Oryzias latipes: one gene and its partners. The protein of the gene in region 1 purifies or fractionates together with the protein of each later gene. This does not show direct contact. Links are inferred from orthologs where the notes say so. Each region holds a gene or a part of one and is shown in the gene's direction. Other genes may lie near its edges. The genes, in order: ppp1cc, nup50, erbin, ruvbl2, zinc finger FYVE domain-containing protein 16-like, ppp1r12a and actb.

Region 1 (4,096 bases):
GTTTCATTTTAAAGCACACTCTTCTAGGAAATGTTTTCATTCTTCCTTTTTAAACTGTCAAGCTTGAATTCAAACCTAAAGTTAGTTGTGCCAAAAACCTTTAAATTGAAGCTTCCGAAGTCGCTGACTTTTGTTAACCATTAATTTTTTCCCCACATTATTCATGCTATTTCTAGCTTGCTAGATATTTTTTTGAATAGGCAAAGTACTTTTATAACAATATTTTCATATCTTCACAGTTATAAATTCAAATTATGCGGATCATATTTCAGAAAATGTATAAAGCCCTCAACTGACTTGCTGGTTATTTCTCGTAAAGGGAAGGACAGAGACCTCTAAAATGACAATGAATCCCAGTCAAGCATCTGTACTGATTATTTATATACTGATAAGATGCATCTTTTTCTAAAACAGCAAACCGAATACTATTGAATTTGAAAAGAGAAACTTACTCATAGTTATTAATTTATTGTATTTACTAAATACATTTTTTTATTTTGCTCCAAAATTATGAATCGACATAATACTTATATGTTTAGATTTGGATCACATAAGAGTCAGGGAATGAATCACAAAAACAAAACAAAAAATTGTAGGTTTTTTTTTTTTTTTTGGATGGCCTTTGATAAGCATGAGGCTTCAGCACAGTCTTTTTTTATTAATGTTGATTATTGTTTAAAGGAAAAAAAACAATTACCTTTAAAAGACCAAATAAACATAAAAAATTACATAACATTTTTATCTCTGATTTAAACTTTCCACATAAATATAGATAGTATTCGTGACACTAACTATCCATAAAAACAGTTGGTTCTGGTTTTATTATGAGATGCTAATAAAAGTAGAAAAATATTTCTTAAAGCATTTTGATATGTGTTGCTTTCACTTTATCAAAAATGAAACCAGAGCTGAAGAACAATCCCAGAAATTAGCTTGTTTAGTTCTTAAAATCAACATAGTCTATTTACTTTAGGGGGTAAAGAGGAAAAAAACTCCATCAACCTATAGTACAACAGCAAAGTAAAACAAGCCCTTTTATTATAAACATTCAAATGGAGTAAAAGAAAATGTATAAATGTGCAAATCATTACGTCAAACCTCAAATTACCATATTGTAGCAAAACATGTGATTTATTTTGCTGTCATAAACTGCTTTTTGAAACGAGTAAATGAAGTCTTGTTGGTTCTATACAGAATGGTGAAACATTATTTTGAGAAGTTGGCGCGCTCCTTCACGCTGCGTTCCCCGTTCCGTCCAGTAGGGGGCAGACGCAGCGCGGCAGCTATGTTCCGAAGGTGCGGCAGAGGAGATAACAGACGGGACACCATCACCAGCTAACAGCTAGAGCCCGTGACGTCCTCCTTCAAGTCCCGAACGCTCAACAAAACCCGCCGCCGGATGGGATTATTTTTAACGTCTGCGACGTGCAAATAACCTAATTAGGATTTAATATTATATATTCATCCCCCCCGCGCGTGCGTCCGACTAACATATCTGAGGTTGAACCGGAAAATCAGCCGAGCTAGCTAATTCTACGGTAACTAGCAGGCTAGCTTTCACAGGAGTTAGCGTAAAGATCTAGATTAGACAGAGACGACTTTAACGCAGGCGCTTGCAATGGCTGATGTTGACAAGCTCAACATAGATAGTATAATCCAACGGCTTTTAGAAGGTAAGGAAATTATCATTTTTTTGCTTTTATGGTTGTTTGTGCTACACATCTGACAAAAAAAAAACAACTAGCGTAGCGACGCCGGTTTTTTTTTACGCACTCGATAACACATAAAGATAAATACGTATTTTTTTATAATTAGCTGAATTCTGTTTTACAGAGATTGTTGGTGTTTCAAAAATGCACAAAAGCGCATTATAATCACCGTGTTGTAAAGCGTAAATGGTGTCTGTAACGCACAACCCCGGGATTGTAATGTTCAGGCTCTGCAGATGTTCTTATTTATAGTAGTCATTTAAGTGTCTGTTTCTATTTGTAAAAAGACCATCATATCATTTCATGTTGTTTTGGCTTAATGTTATCTCATTTCAGGTTTGGTGAAACTAAAGTACGACGTGTTTTTGTTATCACAAAAAAAAATCTGTGTATCATTTACCGTCAAAGACACAACACCCATAGATGCTGTAAAAGACCATAAAATGACTAAAAAGAGCATTTTGAATTCAGAGCTTGCTAAACATTAAGTGATTTTGTCACGGTCTTAATACAAACTGTGCAGGGCATTGCTGACCTGACAGGAACTGTACTTTTTTTTTTTTTTCCTGACTGTTGTTTGTGTTTTTTCCTTGCAGTCAGAGGAGCAAAGCCCGGCAAGAATGTGCAGCTGCAGGAGAACGAGATCCGTGGATTATGCCTCAAATCTAGGGAGATCTTTCTCAGTCAACCCATTCTCCTCGAGCTTGAGGCCCCTTTGAAGATTTGTGGTATTGTTTGTTTGTATTAGGCTTAATTGCTCACTCTGATGAAAGTTGTGTTAACATGTTCTTGTGGGCTTTTTCTAATGATGGAGGACATATGTTGACAAAATTAAGCTTAAAATGTGCATTTCTGAGTATTTCCTTATTGAAATAGTAGAAGCAGAAAGAAAAATGCAGTTGGAAAACGCTTGTAGCTGTGACGTAGGTGCTACCATCAGCAAGCAACAAGTTCCCCCGCTCTTTTAACGTATCCACTTGCAAATAACTAGATCTATGTTCGTCTTTGTTTTCTGTGTCTGAGCTAGTATTTGACTCTAAACTGTATGGTGGATAGCTGCAATATTGCTAGCCATTTTGTTATTTTATGTTGGGGTTGTGAGTGACTGTGAGCTAGCGGGAGAATGTGTAAACACATAGATAATGGGAAGTAGGGGTGGGCTAACTCTATACCAACAGTTCCACAATTCAGAAAGCATCCTCGGAATTGCCCACAACTCAAGAGGCAAATTTAGAATGAACTCCTGCGGAAACTATGTTCTAGAAAACAACACAGGTTGTTTGATTTTGGCTTTAAAAAAAGGCTTAATCATAATTTAAAAATACCACAGAACATTTTCCCAAACCGGAAAAGATGATTGGAGGGGTGCTTCTAATTAACAAAGGAATGAATGTGTGTTCATCAGTTTGGTTTCCTGTATTCTGTATCATTCAGGTGATATTCATGGGCAATACTACGACCTGCTCAGGCTGTTTGAGTATGGGGGCTTCCCTCCAGAGAGCAACTACCTGTTTCTGGGTGACTACGTGGACAGGGGGAAGCAGTCTCTGGAAACAATCTGTCTTCTGCTGGCCTACAAAATAAAATATCCAGAAAACTTTTTTCTGCTGAGGGGAAACCACGAGTGTGCTTCAATCAACAGAATATATGGCTTCTACGATGAGTGTGAGTGGTTTTATATTGACTTTAGAGAGGCTTTTGGACACGTGCACCTTGATGCACAGCTGAACCCTGATCTTTACACATAGTTGCTGTGGCTGATAAAGATGTTTATGGCCATTTAATTGCATGTTGGATTAGAAAACACCTTCTTACATAATCAAAGACATCTGTCGTCACTTTTTAGGTAAAAGGAGGTACAACATCAAACTCTGGAAGACTTTCACCGATTGCTTTAACTGCCTTCCTATCGCTGCAATTGTTGATGAGAAGATCTTTTGCTGTCATGGAGGTGGGTTTTTATGTTTTATTCATAGCAGCATGGTTACACCCTGCATGTTTGTAACAATATTTACACATAATGTCAACGTTCCCACTGTGGCAAAGTTGAATGTCGAAAGTAGCGCAGCATTGACGTCAGCATTTGTCATTGTGAAACGCTGCCTATGCAGTTTGTCAGCTACTTCTTGGACTCACTTGCATGTGATAGGACATGGTGTCAAATCCGCTGCTTTATGTGATTTGTTTTGTCATTAAATATAGGACTTTCACCCGACCTTCAGTCCATGGAGCAAATCAGGCGCATCATGCGCCCCACTGACGTGCCCGACCAGGGCCTGCTGTGCGATTTGCTTTGGTCTGATCCGGACAAGGATGTGTTGGGCTGGGGGGAGAATGACAGGGGGGTGTCTTTCACCTTTGGCTCGGAGGTGGTGGCCAAATTCCTG
Region 2 (4,126 bases), on another chromosome or scaffold:
CTTGTTTTTATAATTAACTTGATTTTTTTTTTTGTTTTTTTTAAACGTCCATCATAACAGGTTTACACCTGTGCTAGCAGGGCGCCCTGCCTATCAAGATGACCCCAAAGTTTGTGAATACCGGAGTTCAATCCTGTACTTTTCACAGTACATTGATAACATTTTTGAAGATCTGTTTTTGATCTAGTTTTGTTCCAACTACCGGGGAATCACACTCCTCAGCCTCCCTGGGAAAGTCTATGCCAGGGTACTGGGGAGGAGAGTCCGTCCCATAGTCGAACCTCAGATCCAGGAACAACAGTTCGGTTTCCGTCCTGGTCGTGGAACAGTGGAGCAGCTCTACACCCTAACCTAGGGTGCTGGAGGGATTGCGGGAGTTCACTCATCCAGTCCATATGTGTTATGTGGATTTGGAGAAGCTGTTCGACCGCGTCCCCCATATCCTGTGGAGGGTGGTCTGGGATTATGGGGTCCGGGGAGCCTTACTGAGGGGTGTCCGGTCTCTGCATGACCGGAGCAAGAGCTTGGTTCGCATAGCCGGCAGTGAGTCAAACCTGTTCCCGGTGCATGTTGGACTCTGGCAGGTCTGCTCTTTATCACCGGTTCTGTTCATAGTTTTTATGGACAGAATTTCTAGGGCACAGCCAGGGGCTGGAGGGGGTCTGGTTTGGAGACCACAGGATTTCCTCTCTGCTTTTTGCAGATGATGTTGTCCTGTTGGCTTCATCGAACCGGGACCTCCAGCATGCATTGGGGGGGGATTGCGGCCGAGTGTGAAGCGGCTGGGATGAGGGTCAGCAACGCTAAATCTGAGGCCATGGTTCTTAACCGAAGAAAGGTAGTTTGCCGTCTCTCGGTGGGTAGAGTGTCCCTGCCCCAGGTGGAGAAGTTTAAATATCTTGGGGTCTTGTCCATGAGCGGGGGAAGACCGGAGCGTGAGATTGACAGGTGGATCGGAGCAGCGTCCGTTGTGGTGAGGAGAGAGCTGAGCCAGAAAGCAAAGCTCTCAATTTACCGGTCGATCTTCCTCTGTAGCAGAAGGTCCAACAAGTAACAATAAAGTGATATAGAGTTTTATTGTTTTAGAACAAAATTTAATGTTTTTTGGGTGAGTATCACTCTAAAGATTTAATCTGCTCCTTTTTTCTGATTTTCCTACCCGAGTTCTATTTTCACAGAAATGTTGTCCTGTTGTCCTCTACAGTGGACGTGTTGGGAAATTAAAATAAAAAATATTTTTTTAAAAATTAAAATTGTAAGGTGTTTTTTTAAGCCCAAATAGAAAGGAAATCACACAAAAACAAAAATTGGAAGACACTTTTTTTCCTCGGTTCTCAGGAGGATAAAAACGAGATAAATAAATACTCTACCCGACTACAAATCCCAGCTATAGGCTCTTTACTCTGCGCATGAGCAGAGAGGTGGGGCGCGTGCACCCACGCGGATGTACCGTTGTGCAAAATGGCCGCGTGAGGAAGCTTTTTCAAAATCACTGAGTGAGTCAAGATTTGAAGGCGATCGAGAATCTGCGGTTCTGGTCGGTCTGTAGAACCGAGACCGGGCGGAAAGTCGCTCACAGACAGAGTTCGGGTCTCGGGTGACCGAGACCAAAGACCGCCACTGAGCGCTAGCCGTGACGTCAGGAGCTGTCGCGCGGCCCGGTTAGCTTCTCAGCGGGAAACGGTTAAGCGACGGAACGGGTTCCGGTCCGGTTTGGAGACTTCGGCCAAAGGTAACCAGCACGGTGAGTAAACCAAATATCCTGCCTCTATAACTGTAACCGGTTAAAGTAACGGGAGCGGCCAGCGGCAAAGCGAAGTGAGGCAATCCAACCGGAGGAACCGAACAGAAGAACCGCCCGGATTTTGTTACCATAGTGACACCACAAAACCCGCCAGACTGTGAGGATTCGGACCGAACCCGAAGCTCAGCAGGAAGTCGCTCCAGAATCTGGACCGTTGCAGAACCACCTGGTGGATGATCCGGTCGGAAAATGAAAACCGGATCTCATGAGTAGACTGATTATCTGAAGATCCGTTTTCATGTTCTGGTCCGAAACTGGGTTGTTGATATGACCGCCCGCGTGGTGGTACCTGACTTGGTTCTTCCTGGCCTGGTATCTGCTTAACCTGGTTCCTTGTCTGGTACCTGGTCTGGTACCTGGTCCCTGGTCTTGTTCCTGGCCTTGTCTGGTTCCTGGCCTGGTCCCTGGTCTGGTACCTGGTCACTGGCCTGGTACCTGGTCTGGTACCTGGTTCCTGGCCTGATACCTGCTTAGCCTGGTTCCTTGTCTGGTACCTGGTCTGGTACCTGGTCCCTGGTCTTGTTCCTGGCCTGATACCTGCTTAGCCTAGTTCCTTGTCTGGTACCTGGTCCCTGGCCTGGTTCCTGGTCTTGTTCCTGGCCTGATACCTGCTTAGCCTGGTTCCTTGTCTGGTACTTGGTCTGGTACCTGGTCTGGTACCTGGTCCCTGGTCTTGTTCCTGGCCTGATACCTGCTTAGCCTGGTTCCTTGTCTGGTACTTGGTCTGGTACCTGTCCCTGGCCTGGTTCCTGGTCTTGTTCCTGGCCTGATACCTGCTTAGCCTGGTACCTGGTCCCTTGTCTGGTACCTGGTCACTGGCCTGGTCCCTGGTCTGGTACCTGGCCTGGTTCCTGGTCTTTTTCCTGGCCTGGTGGCTGCTTAACTTGGTCCCTGGTCTGATACCTGCTTAGCCTGGTTCCTTGTCTGGTACCTGGTCTAGTACCTGGTCCCTGGCCTGGTTCCTGGCCTGGTAGCTGCTTAACTTGGTCCCTGGTCTGATACCTGCTTAGCCTGGTTCCTTGTCTGGTACCTGGTTCCTGGCCTGATGCCTGCTTAGCCTGGTTCCTTGGTCCCTGGTCTTGTTCCTGGCCTGATACCTGGTTAGCGTGGTTCCTTGTCTGGTACCTGGTCCCTGGCCTGGTTCCTGGCCTGAAATCTGCTTAGCCTGGTTCCTTGTCTGTTACCTGGTCTGGTCCCTGGTCTTGTTCCTGGCCTGATACCTGCTTAGCCTGGTTCCTTGTCTGGTACTTGGTCTGGTACCTGTCCCTGGCCTGGTTCCTGGTCTTGTTCCTGGCCTGATACCTGCTTAGCCTGGTTCCTTGTCTGGTACCTGGTCCCTGGCCTGGTTCCTGGTCTTGTTCCTGGCCTGAAACCTGCTTAGCCTGGTTCCTTGTCTGTTACCTGGTCTGGTCCCTGGCCTGGTTCCTGGTCTTGTTCCTGGCCTGATACCTGCTTAGCCTGGTTCCTTGTCTGGTACCTGGTTCCTGGTCTTGTTCCTGGCCTGATACCTGCTTAGCCTGGTTCCTTGTCTGGTACCTGGTTCCTGGTCTTGTTCCTGGCCTGATACCTGCTTAGCCTGGTTCCTTGTCTGGTACCTGGTCTGGTACCTGTCCCTGGCCTGGTTCCTGGCCTGGTACCTGGTCCCTGGTCTTGTTCCTGGCCTGATACCTGCTTAGCCTGGTTCCTTGTCTGGTACCTGGTCTGGTACCTGTCCCTGGCCTGGTTCCTGGCCTGGTACCTGGCCTGCTACTCGCTGTGCCAAAGATCTGTAATGTTATGCAAACCAAACCAAAGATGCAGTATAGTCAGCCCAGGGTCAGTTTCTCTGAAGCCCCGCCCACATTCAGGTATTGTGCGAGGGTCTGCATTCTGATCAAACATCCGCGCTGCCTTCACAGACTCCCGGGCGTTTGTGTTCTGACGCTGCTGCGATGGCCAAAAGGATCGCGGACAAAGAACTGACTGACAGGAACTGGGATCAGGAGGAGGAGGGGGAGGAGGTGAGTGGGGGAGGAGGGGGGTGAGGAGGGTGATGGATGTTCTGGTCTGTAACGCCGCCGCTGCTCTTCTGCAGGCCGGGACCTTCTGCCTGGCCAGCGAGGACGTGTTGAAGAGTCGGCCCATCAAGAAGGCCAAACGCAGAAATGTGGGCTCAGAGGTCAGAACCGGGCCTCCTGACGAGCCGGTCCTTCTGAACTGGATCTGACTCTGTTTTTTTCTACCTCCAGGCTGATGTGGGAGGAGCTTTCAAAGGCTTCAGGGGCTTTGCGTTCTCTGCGTCAGCCTCCACCAAGCCCACCGCCCCTGGCTTTGGTAACGCAG
Region 3 (3,500 bases), on another chromosome or scaffold:
CTTCAGGTGCTTTTATAGAAGGTTTTATTTTTCTGTTCTTCCATTGATGCAAATGCCTTCTCTCAATGCCTCTTTAAAGACCCACTCCGAGCATCTTTTGATCTATTTTTTAAACCCTTCCCACTGGTCTTTTCATTACTATTTTGCCATTTTTAGGCAAAATCCAAAAACCCGTCATTGTCCAGGACTTAGTTTTTGCAGAGTAGCAGTAGCAATGCTCTTACCCCCCCCCCCCGGTAGGAACGTTGCAGGCTCGATTCCCACCTTGCTCGTCCATATGCCGAAGTGTCCTTGAGCAAGACGCTGAACCCCCACCTTGCATCTGGTGGATGGTTAGTTCCAGCGCTCGAGAAAGGTAGAAAAGTGCTATAGATGTATTTGCCATTTACCATATGCAGTGTATAATTGTCATCTTTTCTGTTATTATGATTTGCCTTTCAAGATGAAATGTCGGTTCCTGTATTTTTAAAATAAATTTCCCCCTGAAGTGCGACTTTTCCTGCTCTATTTTCTTCATAATATGTCTTCCATCAGCCGACAAATGCTACAAGGACATGTTAAAAACAACAAAAACATAATTTTAATCAGAGTGGGTCTTTAAAACCGCGCTGTCCTCGCCTCGTCTTCTTCATTTCCCTCCTTCTGCCGCTGAGAAGGCAGCGAGCCCTCAAAGATTTCCCTTTCGTCTGCCGCCGTGTTTATGTGACACAAGCCAGACCCGTTAAAAGCTGGAGCCCTGACAAAAAGATGGACTAATGGTCGGGAAGGTTGCCAGAGCAACACACAAGCATCCCCGAGATGTAAACAAATGTGTGTGCGCACAAAAGGAGTGCGGCAAATCTTTTCAGGGCCCTCCGTATGGAAAGCCCTCTTTGTCCCAGCACATAGACATACCCGCAGCGGTTGCATAGACTAAAGAGAACCGCCGTTTTCCCCGCAGCTTGAGGTCAGATGCCTTGGAGTTCGGTTTCTGGTAAATTCACTTTCTTTCTCGGCGTGCCAGCGTGGCTGATTCTCGCCCAACTTTTTACTCCAAATCACAGAAGGTTGTAAATCCTATTTAGATGTTTTTTTTATTATTATTTTACGAGGGACGGCATAAAAAAACCAGCTCCAGGGATTGAGTCAATCTCTGGTTTGTCAGAAAGAGCGGCTCAACGCCTCGTGCCATGCCTTCACTATTGGGTCGCCCAGCTGAGATTTTGGTCCTCGGTTACCCGGGAAGTTGACAGTAAAAACCCGCTGAAACCAAAGGAGGAGAACTTTGAGCCTGTGGCCTAAATATGTTGAGAAAATTCTGAAAAATTCCATTATTTAAAGCATCCCTCTCTCACCCTTCAGCTCCAAATTAATTTATGTTGTGCATCCATGCTTTCTGGAAGGATCCGGAGGTTCACGTATGGAACCTGACAGGCTTTCTTGATTTGTCCTGGCCTGTTTTTCATAGCTTTTCGCCCCCACAGTAGGGAAACATTATCGTTCTCCAAAGGTTTTCCATTCTTTTTAAATGCAGGTTGCTCAAGTTCATTTTTTGTTTTTCTAAGTCTGTTTCTGCTCGTGTTTCTGCAGGAGCATGCAGAAGCTCACGCAGCTGGAGAGGCTGGACCTGGGGAGTAATGAGTTCACTGAAGTGGTGAGTATCTGGACGCCTGCCCAGAGCGCTGCACCTCTCCTGAGGTGACCTTCTGTCATCCCTCTTTAATGTGCTTACTTTTCCTCTCCTGAATGTTGAAAAGATTTGTTTTTTCTTGCGAAGCCTCTTGGTTAGTTGCCCCGCTCAGCGCTCTCTGTCTCCTCTGTGCCTTTTAGCCTGAGGTGTTGGAGCACCTGTCTGGAATCAAGGAACTGTGGATGGACGGGAACAAGCTGACGGTTTTACCTGCGGTGAGATTTACGCTCTTTCCTACTTTCAGGGACTCAAATAAATCATCTTCAGGTCATTTTCTTTGACCTCTCATTACTTTGTTTTCCTCAGTCTTCATCAAAACAAACAACAGTCTTTTAAAATAAAATTTAAAATTGATGATAATCAATAAGCATATTGATATGATTTGTAATATGTTTTGATAATAACGAACAAGAACGTTATCTTTGTTGTTTGATAGATAATCTGCACTTGAACTGAAAATGTATTGAAGACCCACTTCAATCATGATCTATTTAAAAGGGTTCCCAGCCCAAATCCTGTGTCGTTTTCTAGGACATCGTTTCTGCAGAGCGGCAGGAGTTCTTTAGAAATTCATTTCGGAGTTGTGGGCGGGAGTCTTGTAACCCCGCCCCCCCTTCCTCTCCCTTTTGCCAAGAGTTTAGAGCAAGGAACTTGTGGCCCAACCGGCATATTTACCTCGTCTCTAATACGCTATTTTTCAAACAGCTTTTTTTTTATTTTTATGTCTGCTCCTGATTAACAACAGTTTGAATATAGAAATAAACTAAGGCTAGGCGCTTTGACTACACAGAAGAGTCTCGAGGAGTCAGAGGTGTGTGTGAACGGACACGCCGCCAGACACTGGGTAAAAAACATACAAACGATTGTATTAAAAAATTGAAATAAAGAAATAAATAGACCCTTTGTTGAGTCCAGTTATTGTTCAACTTCCAAGATAAACTGTTTTCTCTTGTTTAGAGTTCCAGAATGACGTATGGTTATTAATTTTGCCAGAGTTCAGTGGTGGATTTAAGTTCCACAACCCCACAGTGCAGTTCAGTGGGTAGCTCGCCATCCAATGCTGTAGAGGTAACTGGATCCAAAAGGTGAACGGAATAAAAACCTGGCCCAAAGGGCAGTTGAGTGTATAGTCTGCTCAGGCTTTTGGTCGGAACAGCGAAAAAGGATCTCTGGATGACAAGTTGGCGTTTCAAATACAGCCAGCCACAGCAAAAGGTAGCAGCAGCTACCTAAAATGCAATTTTAGGCTTAATTTTCTTTAAATATGTCCTCCAATGTTAGAAAAATGTGCAAGCACAGGTTAAAAACTCAATTTTCTTTGGAGTAGGTCTTTATTAACTTCTAACACATGTTAAATGGTTTATGGCAACCAAATAACAGCAGAAAAAGGCTAGACAGATCAAAATAGAGGTGGGATTCTAAATATATTTATACACCCCGTCTTCGCCCAACAGTAGCTGGGACGGGTTCCCCAACCACAAAAGTGATAAAGCTGATTAAAATAATGGATGGATGGATTAAGTGCAAATATGTCTATATATGATTTAGAACAATTATATCATGATCATTTTTATGTCAAGATCAATTTATTAATTAATATCTGAAAAAGGATTTGATATATCGATGTAGTTTTATTGTTGTCTTTTATCTCCCTTTGTTTTTCAAAATTGCTTGAACTCTGTCAATAAATCATTCCAAAAATATCTGTCTTAATCAATCTGCTGTAATTATTCTGATGATATGTGATCAAAATGTTCCTTTTTTTTTCCATCCAGTCCACCTGCTTATACTGAATCTGGGTCAGCGCATTAGCTCTGCTGCCAGCATTTCT
Region 4 (3,580 bases), on another chromosome or scaffold:
CCTATCGTGGGTTATTTTTAGAACGTAACCCCAGCGGTAAATGAGGGAACACTGTACTTGAAAATGTAACTTCAGAACTGGTTAATCTCAAAATCTTGGGTTATGATGACATTGATTTGCATAAAACTTATCTGAATATTGTTTATCCCGAGAATCCTTTCTGCTCAAATGAAAAAGTGTCTCAAATAATGAAGACTTGAAATGAAAAAAAAAAACGTGGATTCTGTCATTTAAGCTTTAAGTTTCACTCTGTCAAATGAACCACAAATGAGTAATATATAATAAAAAATAAAAAGATTTAATGGACCACAAACTTGGTCAGTAGCAGATGTTTGTCTTTGCAAACAGCAATGACTGCAACTCAAAGAAGGACACTAAACAAAATCTGACAGCAGACACGGCGTAATAAGGTGGAGGGATGGAACACAGGGAGCAGTGACGTCTTGTTCTGCAAAAGCAGGTGGGGTTGAAGCTGTGACATAGTTTCCAATGCAGGAGTTCATTAGACATTTGCCTCTGATTTGTCGGCGCGAAACAACCTTCCCGTCCCTGTTGCTGAGAGCTCTGTTTTTACACTCTCCCACTAGCTTACAGCCCCTCACAACCCCAACCTAACATTACTGCTGCCACAAAAATGGCGAGCAATGTTAGTTCTATCCAGCCGTACAGTTTAGATCCAGATTCCAGCTCAGACGAGGAAAACAAAGACATTCATGGATCTCTTTGTCTGCAGGCGGATGCATCAGAATGGAGCGGAGCAGGGAGCCTGTAACTGCCGATTGTAGTTTCTACGTCATAAATGGGAACATTTTCAAACAGGATCTGCTCCTGGTTCACAACAATTTGAATAAAGAAATAGTCAGAATTGTAATTTTCTTGATAAGTTTCCTCCATCAAGAGAAAAATCTCCCAAGAACAAAATAAAAAACAAAAAAAACAGGGTTTTCATTAGAGTGGATCTTCAAATATGTTTAGGGGATGCACTTAAATTTCAAAATTCACTAAATGCGGTTTCATTACGAGAATGGTATTTGTTTTATATTTGTTGTTGGTGTTGATATTCCAGCCAGTTTTGCGTTTTACTGACACTAATTTGAAAAAACAAAACAAAAACTAAAGAATTTAATCAATTACAATTGAGGGTAAAAGATGATCTAGTGATTTTCTCTTGAGAACCGTCAGCTGATCCTTAAACCGCATCAGCTGTAACTGCTGTCCATTTCCTCTGCTTGCAGACTCAGTTTGTCCAGTGTCCTGAAGGAGAGCTGCAGAAGAGGAAGGAGGTGGTGCACACAGTGTCCCTCCATGAGATCGACGTCATCAACAGCCGCACACAAGGCTTCCTGGCTCTGTTCTCCGGAGACACCGGAGAAATCAAGTCGGAAGTCCGAGAGCAGATCAATGCCAAAGTGTGTGAGTGGAGGGAAGAAGGCAAGGCGGAGATCATTCCAGGGGTACGCCGCCGCCTGCATTTTGGGATCCTTTTTGTGTTTGGTTGAGGGTAACTGTGTGTGCATGCGTGCGGCTCCAGGTGTTATTTATTGACGAGGTGCATATGCTGGACATGGAGTGCTTCTCCTTCCTGAACCGAGCCCTGGAGAGCGACCTGTCTCCAGTCCTCATCATGGCCACCAACAGAGGCATCACTCGGTACTGTTCATGCTGCTGATTCACTTCAGCTGTTTCCTTTGATGTGTATGGCTTACGCGTCCTTCAAAACTAATGCTCTAAAATTTAAAAGTTGTTTTATAATCTTTGATTTTTTTTTTCTCCCCCCCACAAAAACATTCTTTGTTTTATTTTCGTACGTTTTCCCACAGAATTCGTGGCACAAACTATCAGAGTCCTCACGGCATCCCCATTGACCTCCTGGACCGGCTGCTCATCATCGCCACGTCCCCGTACACCGAAAAAGAGACCAGGCAGATCCTCAAGATCAGGTGGGAGCGCGGGTTTGCTTCCCGCCACCGAACCCTGCTCCTGTTTTCAGCATCACTCACATCCACTTCCCGGTGTTTCAGGTGTGAGGAGGAGGATGTGGAGCTAAGTGAGGAAGCGCACACGGTGCTCACTCGAATCGGCATGGAGACGTCGCTGCGTTACGCCATCCAGCTGATCAGCACTGCAGGGCTGGTGTGTCGCAAGCGCAAAGTAAGCTCCACTACAAGAAGATGCTCTCAGCATCACTGTTTTCTGGTGTTTTGGTAAATGAGAACATGTGACTGTTTTCATCACGGAGGGATCTTTTTGTTTGTGCTGCTTCAGGGGACAGAAGTTCAGGTGGAGGACATCAAACGCGTTTACTCTCTGTTCCTGGATGAGGCCAGGTCCTCTCAGTACATGAAGGAGTACCAGGATTCCTTCCTCTTTAACGAAACACGTAAGTTTCAAGTTTAAAAACAAAAACCAAATCTCAACACTTTTGAATTTCTCAAAGTCCCACTCCGATCCCAGTGTTCTTTTTAATTATGATGTTGCTGTTTTTTGCCAAAATCAAAAAACCTGTCGTTCTCTAGACATAGTTTCTGCTGCGTCGCTCGCAGTAGCTCATTAGAATTTCACCTTTGAGTTGTGGATGGGACTGTTGGTGCGCAGCAACTCCGCCCCCTCTTCCCGTCCCGTTGCTGAGAGCAGGGAGCTTGTCTCTCGCTCAGCATATTTTCTACCTCAGATACGCTCTTTTTTTTTTATGTCCTTCTGATTCACAACAATTTGAATAAAAAAGTAATCAGAAATACAATTTGTATTCTTCATTTTCTTTATTTAAGCCTCTATATCATCAGAAGAATGCCACAAGAACACACATTTTATCAGAATGGGCCTTTAACTGCCCCCTTTTTGCATTTGCAATGATAACTTTTATACTCTCCCTAAAATATTGAAGGACGAAAAGTACATTGAGCGTGTTTTTGTGTTGCAGAAACGGCCGTCATGGATACTTCATAACGAAAACACAGCTCAGCTTCTCTGCTTCTTCTCTCCTAGATTCAAGCAGTTTAGGACTGAATCCCCACTTTGAGTCAAGTGATTACCTGAAGTAGAGATGAAATATGAATTCATTAAAGTCCTACATGTTTCCATTGGTTTGCTACTCATTTGGTGTTGTATTCAGGAATTTGTCATAAAATCACAGAAATTGTGGATTTACCGTAACTGTGTTAATCAATGAGGCCTTTAAGCCAGGAAACCCATTCCTGTGGTTTGTTCTTTGTTTTGATTTGTCACTGCTTGTTATTTTTGAACAATTAAACGGACTTTTGTAGTCATACTCGGTATTTTTAATGTCTCATTGGTTTCTAATTCTCTCCAAGGTTTTATTTGTGATTTTAGTCTGAACACTGAGACCAAACCTTTACGGTTACATGTGTTTCCGAGTACAATGACGCACCTTAGCAAACGTGGGTTAGAATTATGATGTAATTTATGACAGTTGTTCTTTTTTTTATCTATGTTTCGCATGGTGTGGCTTTTGAAATGGATTATGAATTACAATTATTTGTTTAATGTGCACTTTTTTTCATAAAAAAAAGCTTTTGAACACAAGTGGAAAACTTCAGAAGTGTTTGAGTTTCACCTGAAA
Region 5 (3,500 bases), on another chromosome or scaffold:
TCGTTCCAAACAAAGCAAATAATAAACGAGAAAGTTCCTCTTTTGAACCGGATTGTGGCTCCAGAACCTTCAGTTCTCACAGTTGAAGGTGTCGTTTGCAGATGCTGCAAGGGAACCTGGGAGATTTCTTTTCTCTCCTTGGTTACTCTGAAGCATCACTTTAACAAAAACCAGTGGAGCCGTTACAGCTGCTGACACCATGATGTTGCAGTGGAGTGGTCGGGTTTTGGGTTTTCCCTCTGGGAGACATCTTTACGTCCTCTCTGTGGTCCGTCTGCATTCACACTGAAGTGAACCGTACCAGGAGAACACAGACCCCGGTTCTCCTGGTTGGTCCCAACCAGAGTTCAGGTGAACTTTCCCACCTGCCGATGAAACAAACTCTGCTTTGGATCAAAACCTGCGGCAGGAAACGTCTTGGAGGATCCGTGAAGCCTGATGCTGTCTTTGTGGGGTTTGGCTCTTAGGTGGAGTACCAGGCAGGTTCCGGAGGCAGGCTCCTCCCCCAGCGCTACATGAACGAGATGGACAGCGCTCTGATCCCCGTCATCCATGGAGGCGGAGCCAGCGTTCCCCAGACTGCCATGGACATGGAGTTCGTCTTCTTTGTGACTCACGCCATCTGAGGCAGCTGCAGCGTTATGAAACAAAGAAGGTGGGGCCGCAGACGGGTGGAGCCCCGGCAGCTGCTGTGGGCTCCGGTCTGCATGTCTGCAGTCATGAAAGTGTTTTTGTGGAGCTGACCAAAGTAAAAACACTTCAACTTGTAGCGACCTCTGCCTTCATGGCTCCGCCGGAGCTGCTGAATGTTTCCGCAAACACTCCCAAGAGGAGCCCCCTCCCACAAGGAGGAGCCCCTCCCACAAGGAGGAGCACCTCCCACAAGGAGGAGCACCTCCCACAAGGAGGAGCGTCCTCCCACAAGGAGGAGCGTCCTCCCACAAGGAGGAGCGTCCTCCCCACATGGATGTATTCATTCATTCTGAATGGAGCGACAGCAGAGAAACTGCCGCTTCCTGAAACTGACTCTGCAAAAGACCAAGTGCTTTCAGTCCATGGTCCGGTCCGGTCCAGTCTGGTGTCTGCTCAGGTTTCCCGCAGACATCTTACTGTAAAACTGTTTGTTTTTTCTTTTTTGTAAACCAGGGCCCTAAAACCGCCGCCGTTCGCTCCGTCTGTGTTCCATGAACAATCGGAAACGAGAATCGCAGCTCCAGTCCAGAAATGGCGGCAAAGTGGAGACGAGTATAAAAAACCCATAAATCCAGGAGCAGACGGATCGTTTTAAAACCACAAACCCAGTTTTTATCCACACCAGTTGATCCGTCATTTAACATGTTCAGAGGTTCTGTTTGGCACCATCCACACAAAACTCAGCAAACGTAGAGAATTAAATGATTTAATTCACCTGGAAACACAAAGATGTTCAAAAATCCCAGTACAATTGTACTACAGAAAAATACACCTTTTCTCTCAAGTACTTATCTCTGTTCCTTATTATATGCAAATTATCCAGAGGATGGCTCCACCCACCTCATTTACATATTCAGGTGATTTTTAAGATTTAAAGAACTGAAATGTATTTAAGAAGTTCCAGATGGAAATGTGATTTATTCATGTATTTATGCGTTTTTAAGTCATTTTCCGTCCTTCAAAGCAGAGTCCAGAACACCAGCGCCTCCTCTTCTTCCTCTTCCTCCTCTTCCTCCTGTCAGCTCCTAAAAGCATGAAAACAGGGGAGACAGAGCTTCGCTGTGATGCTGCAAACACTACAAAATCCATAATTGTCTTTCAGTGTTTCTTCTTCTCCAACCAAAAATCCAACTTTGGTGAAGTCTGTGAATGAAAGACAGTTTACACGTTCAAAACCCGTCAAGGCCTCCGGCTTTCCCGCCTTTCATCAGGAATCAAACGCTCTTGTTTTCTGGAAGCACGAGAACAGACCGTTCTGGACGTTTCCAGTGAAAATGTGAAAACAGGGCCCAGCTGATGTGTGGGCGGAGCCTGAACAGGCCACTGTAGCCAACCAATCCCAGGTTTTGAAGGCGGAGCTAAACCTCTGACGCTTGGCGGGCCCCTCTGGAGCGTCTGGCGGTCGATAAACTCTGGTTCGAGTCTGAACAGGGCGATAGGGAGGGGGGCGATAGGGAGGGGGGCGGGGCTCCAGTGATTGTGTCAAAGTTTCTGTGTTTTTTTTTGAATAAATACATATATTGAAGAGTTATTTTTGAAACTATAGACGTGGATAAAAGCTGATATTTTTGATAGGGGTCGGTGAGGTCATGACAGAGATCCGCTGGTTCCTTTGAGGTTCTGGTTGGACCCGCTTTGAGCTGCAGCCTCTCACTTTGAGGGGAATTAAACCATCAACTTCATCAGCAGAGAAAACATTCTTCCAGCTTTTCTAGTTTCTTTTCACAAAACTCTGCAGCCATTTTTGTCAAAGCCTCGGCGTCTTACGTTCTGTGTGGCGACCAGCAGACGGGCAGAACCGGAACCCGTCTGTTTATTGTGGACTGGAGCTGGGGGTCCGACAGAACGACTCCAGGCTGTTTTCATCGGTGTCAGCTTTTCCTCTGGGTTCAGCTCCGTCCGGTTCTTGTCTTCACCGTAACTTCTGTTTTTGGAAAAACAGCTGAAGCTGGACCGGTGCATCGTGGAACCCGATGGTTCAACCCGAATGACTCAAATAAAGAACCGTTCCTTTGAGTCTGTGCCGAGGGGAACGTCAGCAAAATTGTCCTGAAGGAAAACTAAAATACGAGAACCTACAGAAGACGGAGGCGGAGAACCTGTTCTGGAATTGACTAACGTTCAGTGTGACTGAGGTCACGTGACCACGTCACACCAGAGCAACAGCTGAGTTGAACTCAGAAGAAACTCTGTCCTACAAAACGTTCCACCACAAAGCTCGATTCCTTCAAAGTAACCAACAGCTTTCCCCATCATGCAGTGCTTTGAACAGAAGCTGTTGGCGGTTCTCCCCTCAGCTGATGGAGGTTCTACTTAGCGGGGGAAGGTTCTCCTCAGGCCCTGACACTTGAAGAGCGGCTCTTGGAGGTCAGTCGTCGGGTTTTAATGTCAATCCTGCAGGTTAGAACCTTTTTTTTTGTCACTTTGGTCCAGCGGAACCCCTTCTTGGATGTAAATTCAGATCCAGCTTTCTTCTCGATCTCCAGAATGAGAACTTCTTTGATGCTCTGTGATTGTTTTCAAAGCGTTATTTCTATTTATTTTTAACACCAGCTTTATTTTGGCGGCCTGAATGTGTATTTAAGGAAATAAAAGCTTTGATGAAACCCTCCTGTTCTGCCGTCTGTTCTTCATGAGAACCTGAGTTCTGCATCATCCTTTCAAAAGAGACAAAATGCTTCAAAGAGGCTGAAATGAAGGATTTTTGCTCTGAAACTGTGAGGACATCTAAAAACTGTTTTCCCGTCGTTTCCCGGTGAAGCCGTCGTAACCGTCTCACTGTCGGTCTTCAGGCTTTGCCTTTTTGG
Region 6 (3,500 bases), on another chromosome or scaffold:
TGTCTTCCTTCCCTTCAGGGCCAAACTGCTTTTGATGTGGCAGATGAAGATATTCTGGGATACTTGGAAGAACTACAAAAGAAGCAGACTCTTGTGAGTCAGTGCTCTTCAGTATTTTAATCAAACGACAAGATTTGTTTGAAAATATCTTGCCGTTCTGTGATTCCAGCTGATGAGCGAGAAGAAAGACGTGAAGAAATCTCCTTTGATTGAAACGACCACAACAGGGGACAACAACCAATCGCTGAAACCACTAAAGAGGTAGCCAAGGGAGCGGCGGAGGAGCGGAAACGTTTAGCTTTGGCTGCAACGTGCTAACGCGCGCTAATGTGTTCCATAGCAAGGAAACGCTGCTGCTGGAGCCGGAGAAAAGCGCTCCGTGCATCGAGACCCTGGAGCCGGAGAAAGTGGACGAGGAGGAAGAGGGGAAGAAGGACGAATCGAGCTGCTCCAGTGAAGAGGAGGAGGATGAAGATTCAGAGTCCGAGACAGAGCCAGGTATTCTTTTATTTGTAAAGAATAAAAGCACAGAATCGTACACGCAACCCAAGAGCGACAGAAGTAGGACGTTTTGCCCAACAGTATGGAAGACCAAAACTGCACCATGAAAGAAAAAAATTTGGCAAAACAAGAGACAAATGAAACCAAACATGTACTGCTATCAAGAAAACTTTAGATTTGTGCAGAAACATAGTCAAAGATGTCTGCTTTCAGTCTAAGACCAATAAAAAAAAACATTTTATGGATAAATTAAGCCACAGCATCCTCTTCATCCTAGTATTTCTGTCCTAAAATGTCCTTCATTATACTGCAACCTGACGCTCCGGATCCAGTTCACTCTTTGGTTAAAGAAAATAATAGGTTTAAAAGGTAATTTTGAAGTAAAAAGTAAGTAGTAAAGTAATACAAGTATAGTAAAGTAACCCAACAAGGTTCCTGACTATGGGGGCCATAATCTTCATCAATCGTAGTGGCATTAAAACACTTTGACAGATTTTTGAGTATCAGTAAGCACAATCTACCTAAAGCACAGCAGATTATAAAAAACAATTTTCTATTTTGGAACAAATTCAAGGACTTTTATTGCGCTTTTTATTTATTTTTATTTAGTAACATGAGTTTCTGGCTGAGATGCACCACAAACTGTAAACCGTCATTGCTGCTGACATCACACTACCTACTACTACATTTGCTGAATTGAGATGATCCTATGTGGCACCGGATGTCTTTTATTTTGAAAAGATGTCATATTAACCTCTGTCGAAAGTTTTTTTTTACCAAGAAAACTTTCTCTTTTTTTATTTAGCCTAAAATGCAAGTTGTTTTATATTTATCATAATAGTACCATTAACGCACAAATGTAATAAAATAAGCATTAACATACAAATCTGTGTTTTATTTTAATAAAGGGTGACCTAAGACTTTGTCAGCAAGAAATCAAACCGATTGGCTGTTTGGGTGTTGAAGGTTGCAGACCCCCCTGGATTAAACCACTTATTAATTATATTGAGGGGAATCCCAGCATTGCTGTTGGAAGACACTTGTTCTCTTGTCCTTCTCCCCATCCAGAGAAGAACAAGCCGTCAGCGGTGGTGAGCAACAGCACGGCGCCCACGTCCGCCAGCATCACCGTGTCCTCGCCATCGAGTCCCACCAACCAGGTGACGACTCCCACTTCGCCCGCCAAGAAGGTACGAGCTGCTGGAACGCTTTTTTTTCCTCCACGCCTGCTTCTAAAAAGCTTACAGAAAACCCAACAGCTGCTTGCTGTGAAAAGCCCTTTGAGGAAGTGGCTCACCTCGGTGAAGCCGAGATCTGATACGGGTCTTTGACCTGTTAAAGTCAGAACTGGACTTCCTGTTATGACTGTTGTGTTGTCCTTGCATCTTTGCCTCATCACTGCAAACGTTTTTGTTCTTGTGTCCTTATGGCAACCCAACTCGTTGAAATGAAGTTGACGCATTTTATTATTCTGCTGTTGACCAAACAAACGTCTGTAGAATCCCAGTTTTAGCAAAACTGTCTCCCGATTGGAGGAGGAGGGGACTTCAGGTAACTTCCGGATGATTGAGGTCCATAAATTGGCGGCTGGGTAGCTCGGTTGGTAAGGTGGAAGGCTGCCGAGCAGGAATCCAGGGTTCGATTCCTGGAGGGGAATAAACAATGGTGCAGGCAATTACCAATGGCGAGCAATTAACACCACCCAGTGGGGGTCGTTGGGCAAGACGCTACTGCCTCCGGAGCGTGGTTTAGCTGCAGCTCACCATGCTCCTCCCAGCGGACGGGGTCAATTTCCCGTTGTGGGATAAATGAATTATTAATTAATATTATTTATTAAATTAGGTTCTAAATTAAGAGTAGCTGAAAAATAGACTGGAGTTTGCTGCCCTCTGCTGGCCAATGAATATGCAAGCGAATGCTCCAGTCAAAATCAAATAATAGTCTTTCTCTTTTTAGGAAATGTTTGCTAATTCTAAATTTACTGTTACAAAATGTAAAAAAGTTTCCTTGTAACAGCTGCTGTTTTGTATTTTGAAATATTATTTTGTTTCTCTCACTTTTCGCTTTCAGTCCTCAATTCACAGTTTCAATTCAGCCTTTTTTTTGTGGGGGGGGGGGGGGGGGGTTATGATGATGCCATTTCTGCCGTTGTTGGAAGATCTTTTATTTCTTTGGTAATATTAATATTTAAACCAGGTCTTCAGTATTTCTACAAATTAAAAAATTTTTCTTTTAACATTTACTTCATTTTTTTCAATTGTTTTATATTTATTTCAAGATTATAATGTTTGCTTATGAGTTTAAAATGTCTTTTAAAACTTCAAGTTGCATTTTTAAATTTACAATCTGATTTTCATTCACTTTGAACCCAATAATTCTTACCTCATTTAGGCCTCCTTGAAGCAAAATTAAAAGCATTAAAAAGTTAAAAAGTGAAATGTCAATAAGGAACCGTGGATGGTTAATTTCTACATTCAGAATTTTTGGAATTGCTTTATTTCAAGCAATCAGAAACAGGAAGTACTAAGGAAATCAAACAAAAGAGATGCACATTAATTATGATTTGATTGGAAACTAGATCCACTGAATTTTTACAGCACTTTTCCAACTCGTGTTACTCAAAGTGCTCACAGAAAAACATTACTGAGTTTTAAAAACTAAAAGAAAGACATTGCACAACAAACGTGTAAAAAACAACATACACACTTCATGGTAAAGCATAAAATAATTCACTAAAATGATGCAAAGTAGAAATCTGTCTCTGCACTAATACACACACATGATCTCATCATAAAGACTCCTAATCCTTAGTATTTTCTGCATATGACACATTGAACCCATTAAATGTGAAATTAGTCAATTAATTGCTTGAAAAGCAGTGGGAAGAGGTTAACTTGCATAATCCCACCACTAAAACGCTTTAATTGAATCTTTGAGTCGGTATCTGCTTGGTCTTTAAGCTTTTTTCCCCCCTAATTTTTTGAAATGCCTCCGTTAAA
Region 7 (4,289 bases), on another chromosome or scaffold:
TTTAAAACTCTTACATAAAGAATTATTTACATACAACTCTCGAGAGAGAACTGTTTCACCCCACAAGCAGAAGCTTTTATTTCAGCGGGTTAATAAAACAAAACAAAAATGGACATTTAAAAGTTAGGTCTGCTGATCAGAAATGCAAGAATCTGCTAATTCAGAAGGAAATGAAGCATGTTTTGTTTGAAACTTGATTAAAAAGCTGAAACGTTTCCATGTATAAAGTGGAAATGTGTTGATGAAAATAAAGACCATTTAAAACTTAAAGCCACGAATGAATTGAAGGAAGAGGAGATGGCATTTAGCATAAAAGAATTGGTGTAACTGAGAGCGAGGAAGAGGAAGTGGTACAAGAGGAAGAAAAGTAGTTGCTGCTTGTGTCTCGCAGACAGTGACATGTTTAAATGGCCTCTGGGTTATTTAACTTGTATGGGCAGCTATGTTTCTGGAGCAAAAAAAGTTTAAATAAACTGTGAAACTAATGAATGGAAGACAAGTAAGGTAAAAGCAAAGAACCCTAAGCCTATAAAACCCAAAGTCAGGAAAGTTACACCCTTTGCAGTAAACCACAGAGAGGAAATAAGAGCATGTGTGACTTTATTTGTCTCTCTCTGAGTTTAATCGATTAAGGTGAATGTATAGTAGCGTATGGGTTGGGTCTGACAGTGGTTATTTTCACTCAATAGGTCATTTATGACTAAAAGTAGATGCAAGTCAGCCTTAGTGTCCTCTTATGTGGACCTTTTTTCTTCATTTGTAGGGGAAAGAGGAAGTAGCAAGAGCTCTGAGAAGTTAACAAGAATCCAGACTAATGCCATACATGGTCAATTGGTATTAGTGAGATTGAGTTTTTACCATTGCTTAGTGGGAAAAGTGGTTATTGTCCATCCTCTGACAGGGCACTTTTACAGTCCATAGTGTCTTTTGTGAGTCATGTGTTTGGCTTGGAGGGTCTCTGACTCCATCTGAGGTGGCATTCTGCTTTCCAGAGTGTGCAGCAACATCCACATTGTAATTGTCCTCAAATTGCATCAAACATATCTTGCATTTCCAGACTGAAATCTTGAGAGACAGGTTTTAAGAGGAAAAGTATTCACAGGGAGGAGCAGCCTGTGCTCTGCTGTTTGAATGATCAGATAAGCAGGGGGACTTGCTCGAAAGCTTTATACAGGTTCATATTTTATATATATTTGAAACTTTGTAAACTCTATATGTATTAATATTTGTTCAAGAAACATTATATCCTTAGATTAGGCCTCACATCAATCCCTATCCTTTTATTTTCCCCCAGCCCGTTACTGTTATCGCCTCCCTCTTTCTACGCTCAGTGCACCACAGCGTGCACCCGACGTGCCCCAGTGAGTGACGCTGGACCAATCACATGCCGCGATTCCGAAAGTTTACCTTTTATGGAAAGAGCCGGGCAACGGACGGACTATAAATACCACGTGCCCACGGCTAGCAAATTCACTCTGAGCGCCGTCACACACAGCTTGTGCGGGATATCATTCGCCTGAAACCGATTCCCTTGAAACGAAAAGCCCCCCACCCAAAGGTAAGATAGAGACGATATTTGGTTTAATTCAAATGTTTTGGAAACCTTACGATTGTTTAATTGTGCAGTTTAATTCTTAATTGGAGGTGACCATTAGCAGAATTTTGTGGCCACTAAATTTATTTTTAGGCCTGAAATGGTTAAACTTTTAATTATCTTTTTAAAATTGACAATTTTGTTTGTTTTGGCATCAATCAAGTTGTACCAAAATTAGCCACTTAAACGCACAGGTGCCAATTGATTGTAACCGGCAAATGGCTTTTCAGTTTGGTTTTAATTGTATATTTTATATAAGCAACTAAATAAAAATTACTATTCGTATCTTACATGGTGGGGGGAATTTTTCGAGTCCTTCTACGGACGTTACCCGTCCGAGTTGAGGGTGTCTGGATCCTGGCGGGTCCCTTTGTGCGCCGTTACGGGGTGTGACCTACTTTAGCATATTAGCCTAGCTTCATGCTAACACGCCCTTCTAGACTTGACTCTGATTCCTCACATGTAGGGGGGTGGGACTGTTATACATTTGTTTGTATAAAATGTAATAACCCTTAAAGCATTTTAAAAGTATTCGATTAAATTGAGCATGTAACTGTAGTTTGACGGCGAAGAAAAGGGCAAATGACAAATCATTCATTCAAGAAAAGGCGTGGCTTTCAGGAAATGATTAATCAGTCATGGGCTCGCACACGTTTTAATTTCCTTCTAAAGCTTGACGGGTCGTGGTGCTTTATGCCAGCAACGACTTCGCACAAATTATGACGCAGTGATTAAGAAATTTTTCAGTCTTGTGCAACAATGGGAGGGAACGCTGACAAAGTAGAGCTGTAATGAACCAGTGGGAGTAGGCTTTCGTCGCCGGGTCCGATAGTCTAAAGTCCCTCCCCTCTTGCTGTACTTTGGCCGCGTGCCTTGCCGGTAGCCGCAAAGCTGCTCAAAACCGAACTATGTCCTTATATGGTAACAAGAGAATGCAGCACCACTTCCTTTTGTCTGGGCTCGGAATGTAGCGCTCTACCTCCACCAAGCGGACACTTTGGGGAACTGCCGCTCCCTGACAGGAAATGGGACATCTGACTGCAAAGCAGATGCAGATGGGCGTGTCTTTGGTGTTAACGCCTTATTTGTTTGTTTTCCAGTTTAGCCATGGATGATGACATTGCCGCACTGGTTGTTGACAACGGATCTGGCATGTGCAAAGCCGGATTCGCTGGAGACGATGCCCCTCGTGCTGTCTTTCCCTCCATCGTTGGTCGCCCCAGGCACCAGGTTAGTTCCTAACTGTTTACCTTTATAATTTTTTACTATTTAATTTTAAAAGTTTCCAGATTTACTAAATGTAAATTTAAACTTTTTTTCAGGGTGTCATGGTGGGTATGGGCCAGAAAGACAGCTACGTAGGTGATGAAGCCCAGAGCAAGAGGGGTATCCTGACCCTGAAGTATCCCATTGAGCACGGTATTGTTACCAACTGGGATGACATGGAGAAGATCTGGCACCACACCTTCTACAATGAGCTGAGAATTGCCCCTGAGGAGCACCCTGTCCTGCTCACTGAAGCCCCCCTGAACCCCAAAGCCAACAGGGAGAAGATGACCCAGGTACCCGTTTACCTCACAGTGGAGCACATGTATACTCTTTTCACCTTGGTTTCCTTCTGTTCATACTTCCTCCATCCTCCTCTTCTAGGATTTCTTCCTATAAGATGAGCTTTCATCAAAAGGTCTATTGACAGTTTGCCTTGTATCTGCACTTGTGTTTTGAGGCTTAGAGTAACAGATCAGCACCTAAAAATGACATGCACAAGTGTGAAGGAATGTTTACCATGTACTAACTATAGATCGAGCCCCACTTTAATGCATGTAGCGAGTGGAGTGGTCGCATTGCTGCTTTGTAACATGCTAACATTGTGCTTTTTGTCTCTGCAGATCATGTTTGAGACCTTCAACAGCCCTGCCATGTACGTTGCCATCCAGGCTGTGCTGTCCCTGTATGCCTCTGGTCGTACCACTGGTATCGTCATGGACTCTGGTGATGGTGTGACCCACACAGTGCCCATCTACGAGGGCTACGCTCTGCCCCACGCCATCCTGCGTCTGGACTTGGCCGGCCGCGACCTTACAGACTACCTCATGAAGATCCTGACGGAGCGTGGCTACTCCTTCACCACCACAGCCGAGAGGGAAATTGTCCGTGACATCAAGGAGAAGCTGTGCTACGTCGCCCTGGACTTCGAGCAGGAGATGGGCACCGCTGCCTCCTCTTCCTCCCTGGAGAAGAGCTATGAGCTGCCTGACGGACAGGTCATCACCATTGGCAATGAGAGGTTCCGTTGCCCAGAGGCCCTCTTCCAGCCTTCCTTCCTTGGTAGGTACCTCAACCAAAGACTTGTGTACAGACCCCAGAGTGCCCCATGCTAATATTTAATCTCCTTCCAGGTATGGAGTCCTGCGGTATCCATGAGACCACCTACAACAGCATCATGAAGTGTGATGTTGATATCCGTAAGGATCTGTACGCCAACACTGTGCTGTCTGGAGGTACCACCATGTACCCTGGAATCGCAGACAGAATGCAGAAGGAGATCACAGCCCTGGCCCCATCCACCATGAAGATCAAGGTGAGCTTTCTGAAGAGTCTCCCGTCTGGATTGTTCCTTTGGGGAAAAGGGGCTCATTCTCAACTCTCCTCCTCTCCCTACAGATCATTGCCCCACCAGAGCGTAAATACTCTG

Evidence for each region.
Region 2: the proteins of ppp1cc (region 1) and nup50 purify together in Homo sapiens (affinity purification with mass spectrometry; 3 studies listed by BioGRID and IntAct, with this or other methods). This does not show direct contact. The link is inferred for Oryzias latipes from reciprocal best matches to the Homo sapiens genes PPP1CC and NUP50.
Region 3: the proteins of ppp1cc (region 1) and erbin purify together in Homo sapiens (affinity purification with mass spectrometry; 6 studies listed by BioGRID and IntAct, counting the BioPlex papers as one, with this or other methods). This does not show direct contact. The link is inferred for Oryzias latipes from reciprocal best matches to the Homo sapiens genes PPP1CC and ERBIN.
Region 4: the proteins of ppp1cc (region 1) and ruvbl2 purify together in Homo sapiens (affinity purification with mass spectrometry; 3 studies listed by BioGRID and IntAct, with this or other methods). This does not show direct contact. The link is inferred for Oryzias latipes from reciprocal best matches to the Homo sapiens genes PPP1CC and RUVBL2.
Region 5: the proteins of ppp1cc (region 1) and zinc finger FYVE domain-containing protein 16-like purify together in Homo sapiens (affinity purification with mass spectrometry; 3 studies listed by BioGRID and IntAct, counting the BioPlex papers as one, with this or other methods). This does not show direct contact. The link is inferred for Oryzias latipes from reciprocal best matches to the Homo sapiens genes PPP1CC and ZFYVE16.
Region 6: the proteins of ppp1cc (region 1) and ppp1r12a purify together in Homo sapiens (affinity purification with western blotting; 3 studies listed by BioGRID, with this or other methods). This does not show direct contact. The link is inferred for Oryzias latipes from reciprocal best matches to the Homo sapiens genes PPP1CC and PPP1R12A.
Region 7: the proteins of ppp1cc (region 1) and actb purify together in Homo sapiens (affinity purification with mass spectrometry; 3 studies listed by BioGRID and IntAct, with this or other methods). This does not show direct contact. The link is inferred for Oryzias latipes from reciprocal best matches to the Homo sapiens genes PPP1CC and ACTB.

Annotation. Positions count from the first base shown.
Region 1 is NC_019867.2:25,505,867-25,509,962, reverse strand, and holds the start of ppp1cc (serine/threonine-protein phosphatase PP1-gamma catalytic subunit), read left to right. Parts: upstream 1-1,296; 5' UTR 1,297-1,618; coding exon 1,619-1,673; intron 1,674-2,305; coding exon 2,306-2,437; intron 2,438-3,143; coding exon 3,144-3,374; intron 3,375-3,555; coding exon 3,556-3,660; intron 3,661-3,911; coding exon 3,912-4,096. UniProt on the Homo sapiens protein: Protein phosphatase that associates with over 200 regulatory proteins to form highly specific holoenzymes which dephosphorylate hundreds of biological targets.
Region 2 is NC_019881.2:23,772,923-23,777,048, reverse strand, and holds the start of nup50 (nuclear pore complex protein Nup50), read left to right. Parts: upstream 1-1,326; 5' UTR 1,327-1,732; exon of another isoform or gene 1,733-3,222; intron 3,223-3,281; exon of another isoform or gene 3,282-3,702; 5' UTR 3,703-3,735; coding exon 3,736-3,804; intron 3,805-3,878; coding exon 3,879-3,962; intron 3,963-4,032; coding exon 4,033-4,126. UniProt on the Homo sapiens protein: Component of the nuclear pore complex that has a direct role in nuclear protein import. Actively displaces NLSs from importin-alpha, and facilitates disassembly of the importin-alpha:beta-cargo complex and importin recycling.
Region 3 is NC_019870.2:4,453,781-4,457,280, reverse strand, and holds part of erbin (erbin), read left to right. Parts: intron 1-1,569; coding exon 1,570-1,633; intron 1,634-1,809; coding exon 1,810-1,884; intron 1,885-3,500. UniProt on the Homo sapiens protein: Acts as an adapter for the receptor ERBB2, in epithelia. By binding the unphosphorylated 'Tyr-1248' of receptor ERBB2, it may contribute to stabilize this unphosphorylated state.
Region 4 is NC_019872.2:21,687,052-21,690,631, reverse strand, and holds the end of ruvbl2 (ruvB-like 2), read left to right. Parts: intron 1-1,235; coding exon 1,236-1,454; intron 1,455-1,531; coding exon 1,532-1,650; intron 1,651-1,820; coding exon 1,821-1,940; intron 1,941-2,021; coding exon 2,022-2,151; intron 2,152-2,265; coding exon 2,266-2,380; intron 2,381-2,920; coding exon 2,921-2,946; 3' UTR 2,947-3,080; downstream 3,081-3,580. UniProt on the Homo sapiens protein: Possesses single-stranded DNA-stimulated ATPase and ATP-dependent DNA helicase (5' to 3') activity; hexamerization is thought to be critical for ATP hydrolysis and adjacent subunits in the ring-like structure contribute to the ATPase activity.
Region 5 is NC_019870.2:1,728,565-1,732,064, forward strand, and holds the end of zinc finger FYVE domain-containing protein 16-like, read left to right. Parts: intron 1-467; coding exon 468-626; 3' UTR 627-3,302; downstream 3,303-3,500.
Region 6 is NC_019881.2:19,284,020-19,287,519, forward strand, and holds part of ppp1r12a (protein phosphatase 1 regulatory subunit 12A), read left to right. Parts: intron 1-18; coding exon 19-93; intron 94-169; coding exon 170-261; intron 262-340; coding exon 341-498; intron 499-1,569; coding exon 1,570-1,691; intron 1,692-3,500. UniProt on the Homo sapiens protein: Key regulator of protein phosphatase 1C (PPP1C). Mediates binding to myosin. As part of the PPP1C complex, involved in dephosphorylation of PLK1. Capable of inhibiting HIF1AN-dependent suppression of HIF1A activity.
Region 7 is NC_019866.2:19,166,587-19,170,875, forward strand, and holds the start of actb (actin, cytoplasmic 1), read left to right. Parts: upstream 1-1,489; 5' UTR 1,490-1,558; intron 1,559-2,694; 5' UTR 2,695-2,701; coding exon 2,702-2,824; intron 2,825-2,916; coding exon 2,917-3,156; intron 3,157-3,483; coding exon 3,484-3,922; intron 3,923-3,993; coding exon 3,994-4,175; intron 4,176-4,258; coding exon 4,259-4,289. UniProt on the Homo sapiens protein: Actin is a highly conserved protein that polymerizes to produce filaments that form cross-linked networks in the cytoplasm of cells.